Linked DNA regions of Yarrowia lipolytica. Each later gene encodes a partner of the first gene's protein in a complex. Links are inferred from orthologs where the notes say so. Each region holds a gene or a part of one and is shown in the gene's direction. Other genes may lie near its edges.

Evidence for each region.
Region 2: YALI1_E32754g (region 1) and YALI1_E18269g share a complex: the UniProt entries of both Saccharomyces cerevisiae proteins name them as parts of the multi-subunit COQ enzyme complex. The link is inferred for Yarrowia lipolytica from reciprocal best matches to the Saccharomyces cerevisiae genes COQ11 and CAT5.

What each region holds. Positions count from the first base shown.
Region 1 is NC_090774.1:3,274,033-3,282,166, reverse strand, and holds YALI1_E32754g (uncharacterized protein), read left to right. Parts: upstream 1-6,648; coding exon 6,649-6,691; intron 6,692-6,739; coding exon 6,740-7,506; downstream 7,507-8,134. Other genes in the region: YALI1_E32816g (uncharacterized protein), read left to right, coding at 567-1,790; YALI1_E32792g (uncharacterized protein), read right to left, coding at 1,931-2,959; YALI1_E32776g (uncharacterized protein), read right to left, coding at 3,509-4,585. UniProt on the Saccharomyces cerevisiae protein: Component of MIOREX complexes, large expressome-like assemblies of ribosomes with factors involved in all the steps of post-transcriptional gene expression. Component of a multi-subunit COQ enzyme complex required for coenzyme Q biosynthesis.
Region 2 is NC_090774.1:1,823,034-1,831,049, reverse strand, and holds YALI1_E18269g (uncharacterized protein), read left to right. Parts: upstream 1-4,089; coding exon 4,090-4,668; downstream 4,669-8,016. Other genes in the region: YALI1_E18303g (uncharacterized protein), read right to left, coding at 1-695; YALI1_E18291g (uncharacterized protein), read left to right, coding at 1,901-2,431; YALI1_E18281g (uncharacterized protein), read left to right, coding at 2,951-3,511; YALI1_E18258g (uncharacterized protein), read left to right, coding at 5,252-6,058; YALI1_E18242g (uncharacterized protein), read right to left, coding at 6,210-6,782. UniProt on the Saccharomyces cerevisiae protein: Catalyzes the hydroxylation of 2-hexaprenyl-3-methyl-6-methoxy-1,4-benzoquinol (DMQH2) during ubiquinone biosynthesis.

The sequences.
Region 1 (8,134 bases):
CGCCGCCACCTTATCCTGCACGCCTTACATGAATAATGTGTATGGTGTTGCTGTTCCAAAGAGTTCCATGGGAACGAAAAAAGCCATTGCTCGAGATGGGGGCGACCAATGCAGACCAATCACAATCTCACATGACCAATTCAAGGCTACCACACTACTGGACCAAGCAGCCTTCTCTGCCAGATGTCCCTAAGTTGCTATAAATGTTACGTGACGACACAACCAACAACGATTGCAAGCACCAAGTCCCAAGTCCAAATAGTCCCACGTTTATTTTCCATGGATTGGGTTTGAGAGTGCCTTGATGGGCTGCGAAAGACGACATATCGCCTAACAGCAGTGGACGGTTCTACATGTCATATACACGTATGTTGGTGCATGTGTCCTACCAATTACCTCGATAGATCCCACCATTGCCACAATAACGGTTTCACCGTCTTCCACGAGCTCCAGCCAAATGTACAGCACTCCCGTTAAGCTCTTAGTGCATATGCAACCTTATTCCAAAAATTTGCCCATTTTAAATACTTGGGTCTGCACTTTTGTATCTATCACACACAACAACCATGTCTAACAACGCCAACAACTGCCTTCCCCTGGCCTCCTACACCCTGGCCGTGTTCCCCGGAATTCCCGTGGCCCCCATTGAGCAGGACTTCCCTGTTTCTGTGCGAATCACCATGGCTGCCATTGATCCCGCCCGAATTGAGGGTGATGAGGAGGAGCCCGCCACTCTCCGAATCCTTAAGCCTGCCGACAACTTCGACGATGAGGACGACGAGGATGACGAGGACGAGGATGACGACGATGAGGATGACGAAGTCTCTGCTGAGGACATGGCTCAGATCAAGAAGCTGATCGCCGCCAACGAGGACGGTCTCGATGAGGTTGAGGGAGGAGACGACGATGAGGATGACGACGAGGACGACGAGATGGAGTTCGAGGAGGACGATGAGGACGACGACGACGAGGGTGAGATTGAGGACTTTGTTGTCTGCACTCTCTCCCCCAAGTTTGGATACCAGCAGACTCTTGATCTCGTTATCACCCCCGGTGAGCAGATCATGTTCGAGGTCACTGGCTCCTACGCCATCCACCTCTCCGGTAACTACATTGAGCACCCCTACGACATGGAGGACGAGGATGAGCTCCTTGCTCTCGGTGAGGACGACGAGGATGATGAGGACGAGCTCGACGAAGGCGAGTACGATCTCTCTCCCGATGAGGATGAGGTCATCAACGGTGACGAGCGACTTGTCGAGCTCATGGAGCAGGACGACGAGGACGATGAGGACGATGAGGATGAGGAGGAAGAGCCCGTTGTCGAGCCTAAGAAGATCCTCAAGCGAGCCGCCGAGGAGAAGAAGCAGGAGAAGGCCGCCAAGAAGGCCAAGGTTGCCTTCACCAAGAACCTCGAGCAGGGCCCCACTCCCTCCGAGCCCAAGCCCAAGCTTGTCACCCGACAGCTTGAGGGTGGTGTCAAGATTGAGGACCGAACCGTCGGTGAGGGTCCTTCCGCCAAGGTCGGCTCCAAGGTCGGTGTCCGATACGTTGGCAAGCTCGCCAACGGTAAGGTCTTTGACTCCAACTCCAAGGGTAAGCCTTTCTACTTCTCTGTCGGTAAGGGCGAGGTCATCCGAGGATGGGACATTGGTGTCCAGGGTATGAAGGTCAAGGGTGAGCGACGAATCATTATCCCCCCTGGAATGGCCTACGGTAAGCAGAAGCTGCCCGGTATCCCCCCCAACTCCCAGCTTACTTTCGATGTTAAGGTCGTTAACATCAAATAAGCGATTATCTTCCAAGCCCACAAACGACTGGCCAAGACAAACATATTGGTTAAGTATGTATTTAATGTATTATTGATATAGACGTTAAGGTGTATGCAGTATACTTGTATGTAGGTTGATGTGAATGTACTTAACCCCGGTCACACGTCACTGAGGTTCATGACTTGGCCTGGTTTGAGATTTAAGGTGCCTGAACCAACTACAGGGTGCAACCAGCTTATAAACTGGCCTTCAATATGCTGAATTCCACTGCGAAAGTCGAATAGCACATTAGTCAGAGGGTAGATTAACAGAGTGAGTGTATCTATCACATGTGTTGTTTCCAGAGTGTTGTAGCACACGTATCTATCATCATGGTAACCGATTTCCACCCCATTGGGACTCACCTGATGATGTTCTCCAGTAAGCATGTTCTTCACTTGAAGAGTGTAGTTAGGTCCCTTGAAGAATAGCAGTCCATTTATAAGGACGCAATTGACACTGTTGGCGGAAGCCATAGTTATACATCCTTCCAACAAGTTCATTCTCCTCTCCTTCCAGTTCACAAACAGTATGTCACTAAGAAAGTCTTGTTTGTCTGTTTCCTCTGAGTCTTCCCAGTATCTATGGAGATAGACAAAGGTCTGGTTTGGATTCGAGGCTCTAAAGAGATGCTTGTGTCTTGTGTTTTGGTATTTCATAGGTATCTGGACTCTCAAATCTGGTCCCTGTCGTTTCTGCCACACCACGCTGTTTTCTTCTAGGGCGATGGACTCAAACTCCTTGTTGAATTCAGAGAAACAGTACCAGGACGTAGTATCAGTTCCTCCTTCAGTTTCCACCGCTTTAACACTCCATTCCCGATAGTTCACCACATACCCGATCTTACCGTCTCCTTGTATGTATACGAGGTGTTTGAGGAACCCAGCCTTCGGACTAGGAGGACCTGCCTTCTGACTGCACTTGGTCAAAGGTCCTGTGGTGAAAACCAGAGGTCTGTTGAGTCGAATGACGCTGTTTTTGGCCTTCTCACAGAACTCTCCCCCGATATCTTTCAGGTATAGAGCCCAAACTGCATCGGACAGTTCGTTGCTCAGATGAAAGAGCTCTCTGCACGAGTATCTGAGGTTCAGCGCGGTGCGAAAGTCGACCAAAGAGAAAATCTGAGTCCAAATATCGTGGTTAAGCATGTTTTCAGTTGTTTGAGCGGTTTCCAAAGGTCTGGCAAAAGTCCTTGTGACATTGTGTTTTAGTGTATGTTAGGATGCATTTCGGTGGAAAAACATGTGGGTTCATGTTCGTTAAAGGCGATAAATTTGAAAAGTGAGAGTCGGTGACAGATTTGAGATATTTGCTCAGTAATTTTGTCATGGTTATACGATCCCTAGTTTTACTCATAAATACAGCACTTCCCCAAGGAACTCTTCTCTATCCAACGATGCTACATGCACTATTGTAGTCTTGGCTACTAGTGTCAACTTGTTTATTCGGCTTCGGAGGGTGCATCAGTCTAGATCTGGATACTAGCATCTTGTGAGTGTCATCATAATGAGTACTCGTACAAGTATCTACATTGTACCGTCTCGAACTTGCATGTGTGCTTGCACGAGTACCTATTTAGTACTGTCTCACAATGTCTGGTCTCAGTGTCCTATGTCTCAAACATCTGGGCCTTAGGGTAGCCTCCCATGCCTTAGATTCTCGTAGCTCAAAACAAAATAATACATTATATATGACTTCTAAACACTGCTTTCGGTCTCCTTTCCGTAAGACCCATCGTCTCGCTGTTCCGGGTATTCTTGCTGTTCGGGGTAATGTTCCTGCTGAACGTCCTGGAACTCGTTTTTTTCGCTCTTGCTATGCTTGACAGCTCCGGCGTTGATGTGGGTTCGGCCCCAGACGAAGCCGGGGTAGAAGACGGTCAGAATGGTGATGGCAATGAGCATCATCAGACCGTCCAGCACAAGCAGGTAGGCCTCGTGCTGAAGAAGATTGCCGTACCAGCCCTCAGCCAGCTCGACGACTCGGTAGACGGACCGAGTGAAGACAAAGCCAAAGGCAATGTATGTAGCAATGACAAAGTACTTCATCTTGGGCGACTCTCGAATAGCAATGATTTCGGGGTCATTGGCTCGAGAGTCCGCGACGTTGGGGTTACGGATACCCTTGTGCACTCGCCACAAGAAGTCAGTGGTCATGATAAAGAAAATTGACATGGTGAAGACCTGAAAAGCCATACCGGCGACCATGATGTGAGTTCCGTCGTCGGTAGACTTGTTGTCGTAGAGAGCAGTGGCTGAAATACCTCCTCCTACAGCCTGGATGACAATGGAAATCAAATCACAGGCCACGAAGATCAATGTGTACACCAGAGGAGCTACCCGACTGTAGCTCTCTCCGTAGATGACGACAAACTTTGCCAGCAGACAGTAGACACCCGCCATTATGAAGGCAGGTGCCAGAGTCAGACAGACAATCTGTAGAATGAACTCGTTCAAGTTCTGGAGATCCCAGGTGGACAGGAATCGGCCCAGGTATCCGAGAAACTCCAGACAGATGCCACAGAAGAAGGCTCCTCCAAACCACCATTGTCGGTAGTACAAGGCCAGCGCTCCTTGGATAGCCCACAGGATAATGAAGAGAATCATTCCCACGAGATTGGCGGCTCGACTGGGTCGCATTCCGTAGACACCATACTGGGAGTACACCCAGTTGGACCATTCGTCTGGGGTCATTCCCATCTCCTCTGCACTGGGGGGAGCAGCCAAACACAGGCCAATGAGAGCTGCCACGACTATGAGCGTTGAGATTTTCATTGGTGTCGATGGAGACGAAGGAGGTTGGGAGTGGAGAAGGCGGCCATCAAGTACACTTGTACGGTAGATCTACATTGAGAGATACATGAGCCGTGCTAGGCTGAGTTTACTGTCTGCAGAGTAGGCTTTTGTAATTTGTATAGGCTTTAATGTCTGGGGTCGAAGAGTGTCGGTGGGAGGAAGTAGTGGGATTATAACGATGTATGGGGTAACCGGATGGTTATTCGAGCCTTGTTATATTCAGTTCTGTGTTCAAATCTCTCTTCTGGGGCTCTGATACGCCCCCTACTACGTCCCATTCCTAAAGTGTTCCGGCAGCAACATCTCATGCGCGTTTAAAAAGATTTAAATGCTGAGGTTAACGGATCAAGAGTTCAACTCCAAAAACCGTTTAGGCAGCTTGAAGGGCTAAATAATGGTCATGGACAAGCAAAAGAATGGACAAGTTAGAATGAGGGTTGGGCTCCGATCTTGCCGCGGATCAGGTCATTTTTTATAGCTTCGAGGTAATAAAAAGAAGATTGGAAGAGTACAAGTTGGCTTCGTAGACTTCCAGAGAATGCTGTCCGATACACTCTTGGAATAATTTGGTGGAGCGCTATACAGGCAAAACACACGCAGTTGCTCGGAAGCCAAACCCGAGAAAAGCCAAGAGACACTTTAGAGACCCGATGATACGAGGGCGAGGCTGAGCATAACCGCAATGATGTTACATGTCGCTTTGTGTCGTTCAGCCGCTTCGAACGCCGGGGCTACGCTGTGTTTACTGCCAATTCCAGCGTTCCTGCTTGCTTCCGCTTTGCTCGCCTACCTTTGCCACTTCTATGCGAGAGGGTCTCAAACATGAAGCCTATTGCCCATGGTGAGAACCGCAATGCAGGGAACATGAATACGGAGGTGAGAGTGTATTTATATCGTTGGCCGAGCGCCCTTGGAGCTGCTGAGTAGGTCTTTGTGTTCGGCACGGCACTTTGCGGCGTAGAGCTGCAACGCGCAAGAAGCTCTTGTTAGTGCAACTTTGTGTACATTGGTGCGCGCCCCTAATACATGACGTGACTCGGCCGAGCTAAGGTGGATGATGGTTGGTTGCGACAACGTGGTGACACTCTATGAGGCTGAATACGAGCACGTAGAGTGCGGGGCTGTGCACACATGTTATTTGATCAATCAATATATATCCGCCACTACTTTTCTGTGCAGGAATATCGCAGCTTTTGTATGCGGTTGTGCACTACTCGTACATGTGGGACCCTCTCTACCAAGCGTACTATCACGGACTGGAACTTGGTGGGGCAAGAGCATCCGGAATAATAAATTGGTGGATTCCGGAGGGGGTGGAGTGTTGCCGTATATAGTAGTTTGTTGGGTTTTGGTGCAAGGCTCAAGGATACTGTGTCTATCCCCACACTTCTCGATCGGCTATCTCTCCCCGGATTGCTTTTCTTGGCGATGGGCTATCTTTTGATATCCGATGATATCATGACAGTTGGGGTCCCCTGTAGGCGCCTTCATAATACTACTTATAGTACCCCGGTGAGAGTCGAACCCAGGAGGAGGTTTGTTGAATTAGTAAGCCACGGACATGTGAGCGTGGAACAATACTTGAGTTATAGCAAGGACTGACGAGAGGAAGTGGCACCTGCTTTGTGGCCTGGGATATTACCTTTGGGGCAGGTTGGAGCTACAAGTACAAGTACTTGTGCCTGGCCTGCGTATCTTGAGGAGGAATCGCGCCCAGACAACTTCACTTGAAGGGGCTATATGGAGCCTTCCTAGCTTGTGTAAGAGAGACGACTTTGCCATACGGTTGCTAAGCCGACCAAGCTATCCATAAAAACACAGCACCAGTATCTGTAGCCAATACCAAGGATAATCAGCACACCAACATCCATTAGCTGCCATCCAATACAGCATGTACACAACCTACCGGTATCTACATACCCACTACCATCACCACATCCAGTCAACGCCTCAACAACCCGCATCACACACGCAGCACAAACCTTACCACCGAACCTTGTCGTATCATCACAAATTATCGAGTGTTACCACCACAGCACATAATGTCGAAAAACCTCGTTGTCTTTGGCGGAAACGGATTCCTTGGTAAGTAGCAAGTCTCAACACACACCTCACACACAGCTGCTAACACAGGACGACACATTTGCAAGCAGGCCCTCTCCAAGGGATGGGCAGTCACTTCCATCTCTCGATCTGGACCTCCCAAGAACGCCGAGAGCTGGATGTCCAAGGTCCAATGGAAGCGAGCTGACGTCTTTGAGCCCTCTACATACACCAACGAGCTAGAGAAGGCGTCGGCAGTGATTCACTCAATGGGAATCTTGCTGGAGGGCGGCAACTACAAGCAGGGACTTAACGGAGGAGTTAAAGACGCCCTGTGTGGTCTCGTCAAGGGCTCCAATCCTATGGCCAAGGACCCAAACTTTTCCTACGACAAAATGAACAGATTGAGCGCAGTTCTGACGGCAACAGCATTTGCCGACACTGTTCCGATGGACGAGAGAAAGCCCTACGTCATGGTGTCTGCCGAGAAGACCAGCAATCTCATCCCCGATGGATATATCACCTCCAAACGAATGGCAGAGACCGAAATCTCCGACCTCACCAACCTCAGATCGGTGTTCCTGCGACCCGCATTCATGTACGAGTCTTCCGGGGACCGTCAATTTGGCATTCACAAGTCTACACCTCGAGACGCTCTTGCCGAGGCTTTAAAGGTCGGATTCGGCGCCCAGACCGTTGCTCGATCCTTCTTCCCTGCTCTTCCACAGTTCATCCAGCCTCCTCTCAGTGTCAACGTTGTTGCGGAGGCAGCGGTAGATGCTCTGAATGAGGACATCGAGGGAGTCATTGCCCTGGCTGCTCTCAAACGATTTAGTGACTCCAAAAGTAGAAACTAATGTAAATAGATCGTGGAAATGATATGAGATACGACAGACTGGTTAATGGCAGGCCTACTGCCGATGTAAGGGTATACTTTTCACATACCTTCACATCAGTGTTACTCGCGTAAGGACCTTTAGAAGATATTGAGACCTGCCACGAAACTGGTACCTGATAACCACATCCTTCATACCAAAACAATTACTACTGTACTTGTACTTGTATCTGGGTCTGAATGCACAAGTATATTGCAAACTGCATCCGTGACCCCTTCGATGATCGGCGTTTAGTGGATGTAGCATAGTGACTGGATTCATCATAACGGACACAGACTTTTGAGTATTTGTACTGCAAGTAGTAGTCGCGAGTTTTTTATGATAGTGCCTGGCTCTCAGCAGTTCACTTTATTTCAACACCTCCTCACAGCTACTCGGCATGTCTGTATAAGACGCATACGAACGAGCTCTGTATCAGAGACAGGCACGAGCCGTATATTACCTGCTTAGCTCGACGATGCGCTTGACACTTGCTATGACTCAATAACCATTGGGACGACTAATATTGTGCTGCGGTACAATAATTTGTGTAGTGACAGTGTCGCGACCACGCACATTATATTTAGTGCCTTGTTTCTGGTGTAGGTAC
Region 2 (8,016 bases), about 1.4 Mb from region 1:
AGACCCTTCCAGATTGCGCCCAAGCTTTCAACAATGGAGTTCCAGCTTTTTGAAACCTGTGATGCGGCACAAAGAGTCTTGTAGTCGAGGTGGGACAAAACCTTTGTGGCGAGTTCCAAAGGAAAGATGGACAGCAAATCGCAGCGCAAGGCAGGGACGACAATATCGGCTACCATCGACAGGTTCCGTCTGTTGCATCGACGTAGAAGCTGGAACATCACGTAGTTCTTGACAGGGGCTGGTAGATCGTCGAAGTTGTCGAGGAGCTGAGGGATTTCGTCCCGTAGGTTGGCATGAGGAATGGTAAGATGCTGTTGCTCTTCTTCTTCTTCTCGAGCCGGGGGAGGCGAAGGCATGGCGACGTTTGATGCGGATGTTTGCTGCTCGTCGGTCTGCTCAATTTCCAAGTCATTTCGGGGTACCTTCTTCTGGCGTGGCAGGCTGCAAGACGCCTGGCGCTTTTTGCTGAGTTCCGTAGCACGGGATGTTGCGTTATCAGAGGCAGCTCCAAGAGTTCCATTCTCGAGACTGGCAGAGGTGGACGTCTGTTCACCCCCAAGTTCGACGAACTGGAGCTCGTTGCCATTGACGTCAAAGTGAAACTGCGAGAGATAGTCTGGAGTATCTGTACCCCGCAGCGGATAGTTAGCGTTGCTAGATTTTGGGTCCTTCCTGACGATGGAGACGGTATGCATTTTTGTATCGTAGTTTGAGGCTGCTTTTGTTGTGAGTTGAGCAGAGGGTGCGGGGTGGTGGTGTATATGTCCGTGTTACCGAGAGCGAGCGTTTGCAGCGGCAACTATTGAAAGGTAAACTACCGCTTATCAGTTGGGGCTCGACGAGTAGAGAATATGCTGTGGTGGTGGCGCGAAGTGGGTGTCGTGTATCAGTTGACTGCAGTGGTCTTCCTTCAAAATGAATCACCAGGGACAACAGGGGTTGCTCTGGGACCAGGAAAGGCTCTAGTGTCTTGAACGTGTCTCTTCTGCCAGTTTTTTTGCACGGCTTATCGTGAGTTGTCTTGTTTCGACGTTGTCGCCTGTGCCTGTTGTGTATTGTGTGTGGGTTTGGTGTGTGGTATGTTTCCAACTTCGGTTTTACCCTTTCTATTGAAGTCTCTCATGCGCCGAAGGGGTCAGACTGTTTGTTGACAAGCACTACTCACCGAAATTGGAAATCTTACACAACCGCCGAAAAGCAGAGAAAATGAAATGTTTTAAAGTCTCGTATCCTGTGAATCTTTTGGAAATGTAATATCGTATTTGTCTATTGCTCATCTGAGGAAACAACAGCCTAAATACCAGCTGTTAGCCCACCCAGATGGTGTTGCTACATCGCAAATTCCTGCACGCATGAAACTCTGTTTACGACCAACTCAAAGTATAACAGCGTTGGGCAGTCTTCCAAATGTATCTCACGTGTAGTTAGCAACGAGTAATCTTCGCTTGCGGGCATGCGACATCACAAGTATATTGATTGTAGCTAATGTATCGCACAAGTATAAGTACGAGTAGAAGCACTACAAGTAGTTCTTACTGTACTATCGTAGTATGTCCTTGTATCGTACAATAATATATCGTACTTGTACAGACATTTTTAATTCCAACCAATCGGGCTTTTGAACCGCCGACAGACCCCTCAAAAGGACAGTAAATACTTCAGAATATGGTGGCAAAATAGAAAATAAGTATCATTCAGCCAAGTTTAGGTTGCCGCATACATCTTATGAATTCATTTTATATGGCTCCGTAACATTTAATTGTACCGTGGAAGAGTGGGCGGCCATCATAATTTGATTACTCGGATTCGTGGGGAGAAAAGAGCGATCTGGTGATCTTGCATGAATTGAGGCGAACTTTACTCCCAGGCATCGTCCTTCACCACGATCCTTCAGAAAGCCATGAGTTTGATAAGATCGCTAAGAACAGTGCCCCGAATCGCACTGGCCACAAGAGTAGCCACAGGAGTGGCCTCTCTACCTCTTCGCAGACCCCTCACCACTGGCGTGCGACGTGCGACAAGAACAGTTACTTTGCCACACATCACTACACATCATGAAACGCTCCGACTATATTCTCTCCAGGCGACCGAGCTGGAATTAGAGGATTACCACATTCAAGCGGATGAATATTTGGAGTCTATCTTGATTGCTTATGAAGAATACGCTGAGGAGGTCGATTCAAATGAGCTGGATGTGGATCTAGCTCAAGGCGTGATGAGCTTGGAAATCCCTGGTGCTGGATCCTACGTTATCAACAAACAACCCCCGAACAAACAGATTTGGCTAAGTTCCCCCATTTCCGGCCCCAAGCGTTATGACTATGTCGACGGTGAATGGGTTTATCTGCGTGACGGCACCACCCTAACAGAGCTTCTGGAGACCGAAACCTCCGAAGCATTTGCTTCCACTGGGAAGAAATTTCATCTTTGAGAAAGCCTGTATATAAGTGCATAGATTTAATCACCTACCTGTAGTATATGTCGAGTTGTGTCTAACCCACAAGAAAATACAACGGCGCTATTCAATCACACTTGTATGGTACTTTTATGTTCGGGGTGACAGGTGGGGTTGTACATACTTACTGTCTACGATACTGTACCACCATAATCTTGTTGAGAGGTTGTGCAGTTCCCCGGAGCAAAGGCGCGTATTACAAATCTAAATATCATGATATCGCTCGTAGAGGCATATAATAGTGCGCGACGAGTTTATTCCTTCACCGTATTCATTGCTTGTAAGGTCGCACGTGAAGGATCAGTCATACACAGCCTCCGGTCACATTTGACACAGCCTCCTAATTACCCTGTGTGTAGTGCAGTAGTAAACTTGGCCAAAACTACCCATACCCAAATCTCAAATCCCAATAAAGTCTGACCACGAAGTGCAGCGATCGAAACGTAGCTAGCTGTAACACGGCATCTTCAGTCCAGCCCAGGCCTCAGCAACGACATGCCAAACGAGCCAACTCCCCCCAGCGTCCCCGATGGCTGGTTAGCCAAATGGGACCCCAACTACAAGACTTTTTACTATGTCGACCTCTCCAACGGAAAATCACAGTGGGACAAGCCTAGCGGCTCCGGTGGCCACAGTCCGCCATCATACGACCGGCCTCCTTCTCGGGGAAGTAGCCACAGCAACAGCAACAACAACAGACCTCACCAGGAGCAGCGTGGATATGGTGGTGGTGGTTCAGGCCCTCAAGGATACGGCGGGGGACCTGGCCCTGGTGGCTTCGGCGGTCCCCACGGTGGCGGAGGTTATGGTGGAGGACCGGGCCCCGGATATGGCGGAGGGCCGGGCCCCGGATACGGTGGCCCTGGACCTGGTTATGGCCCTGGACCTGGTTATTGGCCCCCCAGCCCATGTACCAACAACCCCCGCCTCCACCTATGTATGCCCAGCCCCCGCCTATGCAGATGCAGCAGCAGCAACCTCACAGACGAAATTGGGGAACTACCGCCATGGGTGTTGGTGGTGGTCTTCTTGGTGGTATGCTTATTGGAGACATGATGAGTGGCCACCATGATGGCGGTGACACGGTTGTGAACAACTATTATGACGACAACAGTAACAACAACGACGGCGATATGTATTCGGGAGGCGCTGATGATTATGGTGGAGGAGACGACTGGTAATATAGATAAGCTTGTTTTTTTCGATAATAATTTGGTTCTCGTAGCCCTTTTACTATGTTTTCTATTCACCCTCTTCGTCTTCTGGCTCTATGCTTCCCATCTACTGTAAGCCGAGTTGCTTACTCAGATCACACAGTTAAGGTTCGTTATCATATGAGGTGGCATTTGAGTACAGATTAGTTTTCATCGGCAGCAAGTGAGTTCCGAGTCATTGAGGGTGTCCCCGTGTCTTGACAATTGAGGTGGGGATATGTAGAGAGCAGCCTACGATCCTGGTGATGTATGTGCGATTTCAATTTGGGGACTTCTATCATGTGCAGCGTCCGACATCCTGTTCGAGTCTTACACCTGCGTCGCAGCAGAGTGCGGACTTGGGATGAATGAATTTGGACATGAGCCGACAAAAGTTAACTTCACCACCTTACGCATCTTCTCTCAGTCCTCCAAACAGACATGGCCCGACACGCACTCAGTAAGGCAGAGGCCTCGTTTATTACCAAACTCATCCGTGTCGACCAGGCTGGAGAACTTGGTGCGGACCTTATTTACCGAGGTCAGTACATGGTTCTCAGCCGAACCAAGCCTGAGATCGAGCCTCTCATCAAGCACATGTGGGAGCAAGAGCAGCACCACAGACGAACTTTCAACGAGCTTCAACAGAAATACAGAGTCCGGCCGTCTCTGCTTACCCCGATCTGGAAGGTTGCAGCAACTGGTCTAGGCTGTGCCACGGCCCTTCTTGGTCAAGAAGGTGCCATGGCTTGCACTGAAGCCGTAGAAACTGTTATTGGTGGACACTACAACACTCAGTTGCGATGGTTACACGAAAACTTCCCTCCCAAGGAAGAGCGGTCCAAGGACGAAGAGATCACCTCTTTGAAAAGCATTGTTAAGCAATTCCGTGACGAGGAGCTGGAGCATCTCGAGATTGCTGTGGAAAACGACTCGCATGAAGCCAGACCTTACTGGCTTCTCACGGAAACCATCAAAGCAGGATGTCGAGGAGCCATTTGGGTCGCCGAGCGAGTTTAAGCATCTGTATATAAATATGTATTAACGAATGTACGAGTGGAAGGTGAACTATTTTTTAAACCCCATCATCTCCTTAGCACGATCCTGCGCCGACTCACTCGAAAAAGTCCCTGAGAGTTCCGCAGGGACATTTTGCATCCACCCATCCCGGTTGGGATTGTGAGCAGGGTCCATATTCACCCATGTCTTGCTTCTGCTCCTCTCCTCTAACCTATTGAGAGCCTCTGTCTCGCTGATGTTGGGGTTACCTGTTAGTGATGGACCGAAGTCATCGTCGTCTGATGAGTCTGCCTCTTCGGACAGTTGCGGTCCAGCCTGGACCACTTCAAGGGCACTGGCAGCTTGCTGAATTCTCTTCTGGCGCCGTTGTAGAACCTCCCCAGGTATGTCAGGACCGTAAGTCATCGTACAAGAAGTCATGCTGTAGCTGTCGATCACTGTGTGTTACCTGTTACTGTACTTCTATAGTTAACACGCTTGTACTCGTACCAATAAAACAACCTCCCATCAAACTTTAAATCGAGGGTTCATGCTTCGTGTGCGTTGACAACAGCAGTAGCACAGTCGACGAGACACCACAACCATGAAGTTTTTCGCCTTGCTGTCGGCGCTGTCCGCCACCGCTATTGCCTCATCCGAATGCATGGGTTACATTGCTACATACCCCCAGACGGGTGCTGCTCAACAGTCCATTAATGGAGCTGAGGCCCACCTCGTGTTGGCTGACACCCTGGGTCTGTCTAGTGGTCTCAACGGCAACCAGTTGGCCGAGAAGGAGCAGTTCTTTTTCGCTCTTCCTCAGATGGGATTGGGCCCTGTGGACTCCCATACCGTTTTATTCTCTGATCATGCTAACGACGACTCTGGGGCTCTTTACGCAATTGAGTCCGCCATCGATATGGGCGCTATTCAGAAACTGAGTCACCGACTGGAACAAAAGCATGGAGCTGCCAAGGCTTCCCTCATAATGTCGTCTTCGTCAAGCCATATTGAAGAGCTGATTTCTAACGCCGACGAAAAGAATCCTGTCACCGTCGTGTACGCCCCCTCATGCCTCCGAGCTACAAACAAGGAGAAACGTGGCCGCCTAGCAGCCTCCAAGAAGAAGCAGGCTATTGGTATTGCCAGATTTGGCTCTGAGGATGAGTGCAACGAGAAGACAAATAACTGCTCAGGCCATGGTGCTTGCTCCAAGGGCCGTGGCGAGTCTGCCTACACATGCAAGTGCAAGACTGGCCGAGGAGGAAAGTTGTGCCAGAAGCAGGACGTGAGCGTCCAGTTCCAGCTTTTCTTCTGGACTGCAGTTGTCGCTCTGATTACCATTACTCTCGGTATCAAGCTCATGATGAGCGTTGGTAGCGAGCCTCTGCCTGGCGTTTTGGGTAAATAGAGCATACTGTAGCTAACTATCCGTGTGTGACCTACAAAGAGATAACAGTATTAAAAGGAACCATGCTTCCTATAACATTTAATAAGCTGAATGAAACAAAATATGAAGGTATATTGGATACATAGGTTGTGGACGACAATCAAGGACCTCGTTAGACAAGTCCGTCATATAAATTAAGAGCACTGACGATGGTGGGATCAACCTTGGATCCCTCTCGGAATTCTTCCAGAGTCAGCTCACCATTTCGATCCTTGTCCATTTGACGGAAAATCTTGTCCACTCGCTTCTCGGGTGTACTTTCATCCTCAGGTAGTTTGACCATTGAGCCAACCATCTTGTAGATGGCCGTGACAATGGCAAGCATTTCATCGTAGCTGATCTTACCATCGCCGTTGATGTCGTACAACTGGAAGGCCCATTCTAGCTTCTCCTCAAGGGTTCCACGCGAGGTTACACTGATCGCACAGATGAATTCCTTGTAATCCACCGTTCCGCTCTTGTCTTTGTCAAAAACGTTGAAGACGTATTCACTGAACATGGAAGGGTCGCCGAATGGGAAGAATTGTCGATAGATCTTTTGGAACTCTTCCTTGTTCAGCTGGCCAGACGGGCAATCCTTGAGAAAGCCCTTGTACCATTGCTGCAGTTCCTTTCGGTCGAAGTAGGTTGCTTTCTTGAGCTCAGTGAGCTCGTCCTTAGACAGTTTCGATGCTGCTTTTCCCATGGTGAAACCGTGTCTTTTATAGCAATGCGATTATGCTAGTTTTGTCGAATTTGCCCTTAATTTGTGTCGTCAACGGATCCTGGTTGTGGCGGTCAACGTGTGGTTAGCAGCTGTAAAGTCTGGGTTGTGAGTGTCGGGTGTCTTGCGCAGCTGCTCACGCACCCTTCTGGTGATCAAAGTTGTATCTGCTTAGAACCCCCCCGGACTGGCATGGTTTAACACTGCAGATGTGTGCACACTGTAGGCTTATAAGTGGTGAAACCACGAAGGGATACCGCATCTTTGCGCAATTATATTAGATCACAGAAAACAAAACCCGACTTGGTAGAGGCAACCGCCAGCTTCAGCATCACCGCCATCTTTCTATCATACCACTAATGATGTTGAGGTGACCAATTCAAGTGCCGTGTGGAGGCGCAGTTCCAACTTTAATCTGAACGGACGGATCATTATTGTTTTTCGAGATTCTACGACGGTTGAATATTTTGACGATCATCTAAGTTCCGAGCTTGGTGTTTGGTATTTTGGTATATTATTTCACAAACTTCTATTGACATTACAGTGTCGGAAAGCGCATCTTTTGTACTACCGATATCCAGTAGCTACAAGAACAGTACACTCGAATTTGTCTCATGGTTCTTGGCATACCTCATGCGCAGATACAAGTACCCTTGGCATCCTCAATGTTGACAACTTACACATATAATTTTTCAGTTGTCAGTAACTATGATACCGGTATCGGCATAGATTTGTACGCTAATAGATATCATTATTTTTTTAAATATGTATTGAAGGGATGTTGTGTGTGCTGTGAGGTCACGAAAATCGTAGAGTCATTAGAGTCATTAGAGTCATTAATATCATAAGGGTCATAGGACTTTATAAACAGTGTCGTAATAGCAAGGTCGTGATGATCGTGGGGATCATGGATAAAGCGGGTCATAAAGTCATAAAGTCATCAGAAGGGTCATAAAGGTCATAAAGGTCATAAAGGTCATAAAGGTTATAGATGTCATAAAGGTCGTAAGGGTCATAAGGTCGGAAAAGTCGTAAGTCGTAAAGGTCGTAAAGGTCGTAAAGGTCGTGAGCGTCGTAAAGGTCATAAAGGTCATAAGCGTCATAAGGTCGGAAAAGTCGTAAGTCGTAAAGGTCGTAAAGGTCGTAAAGGTCGTGAAAGTCGTGAAAGTCGTGAAAGTCGTGAAAGTCGTGAAAGTCGTGAAAGTCGTGAAAGTCG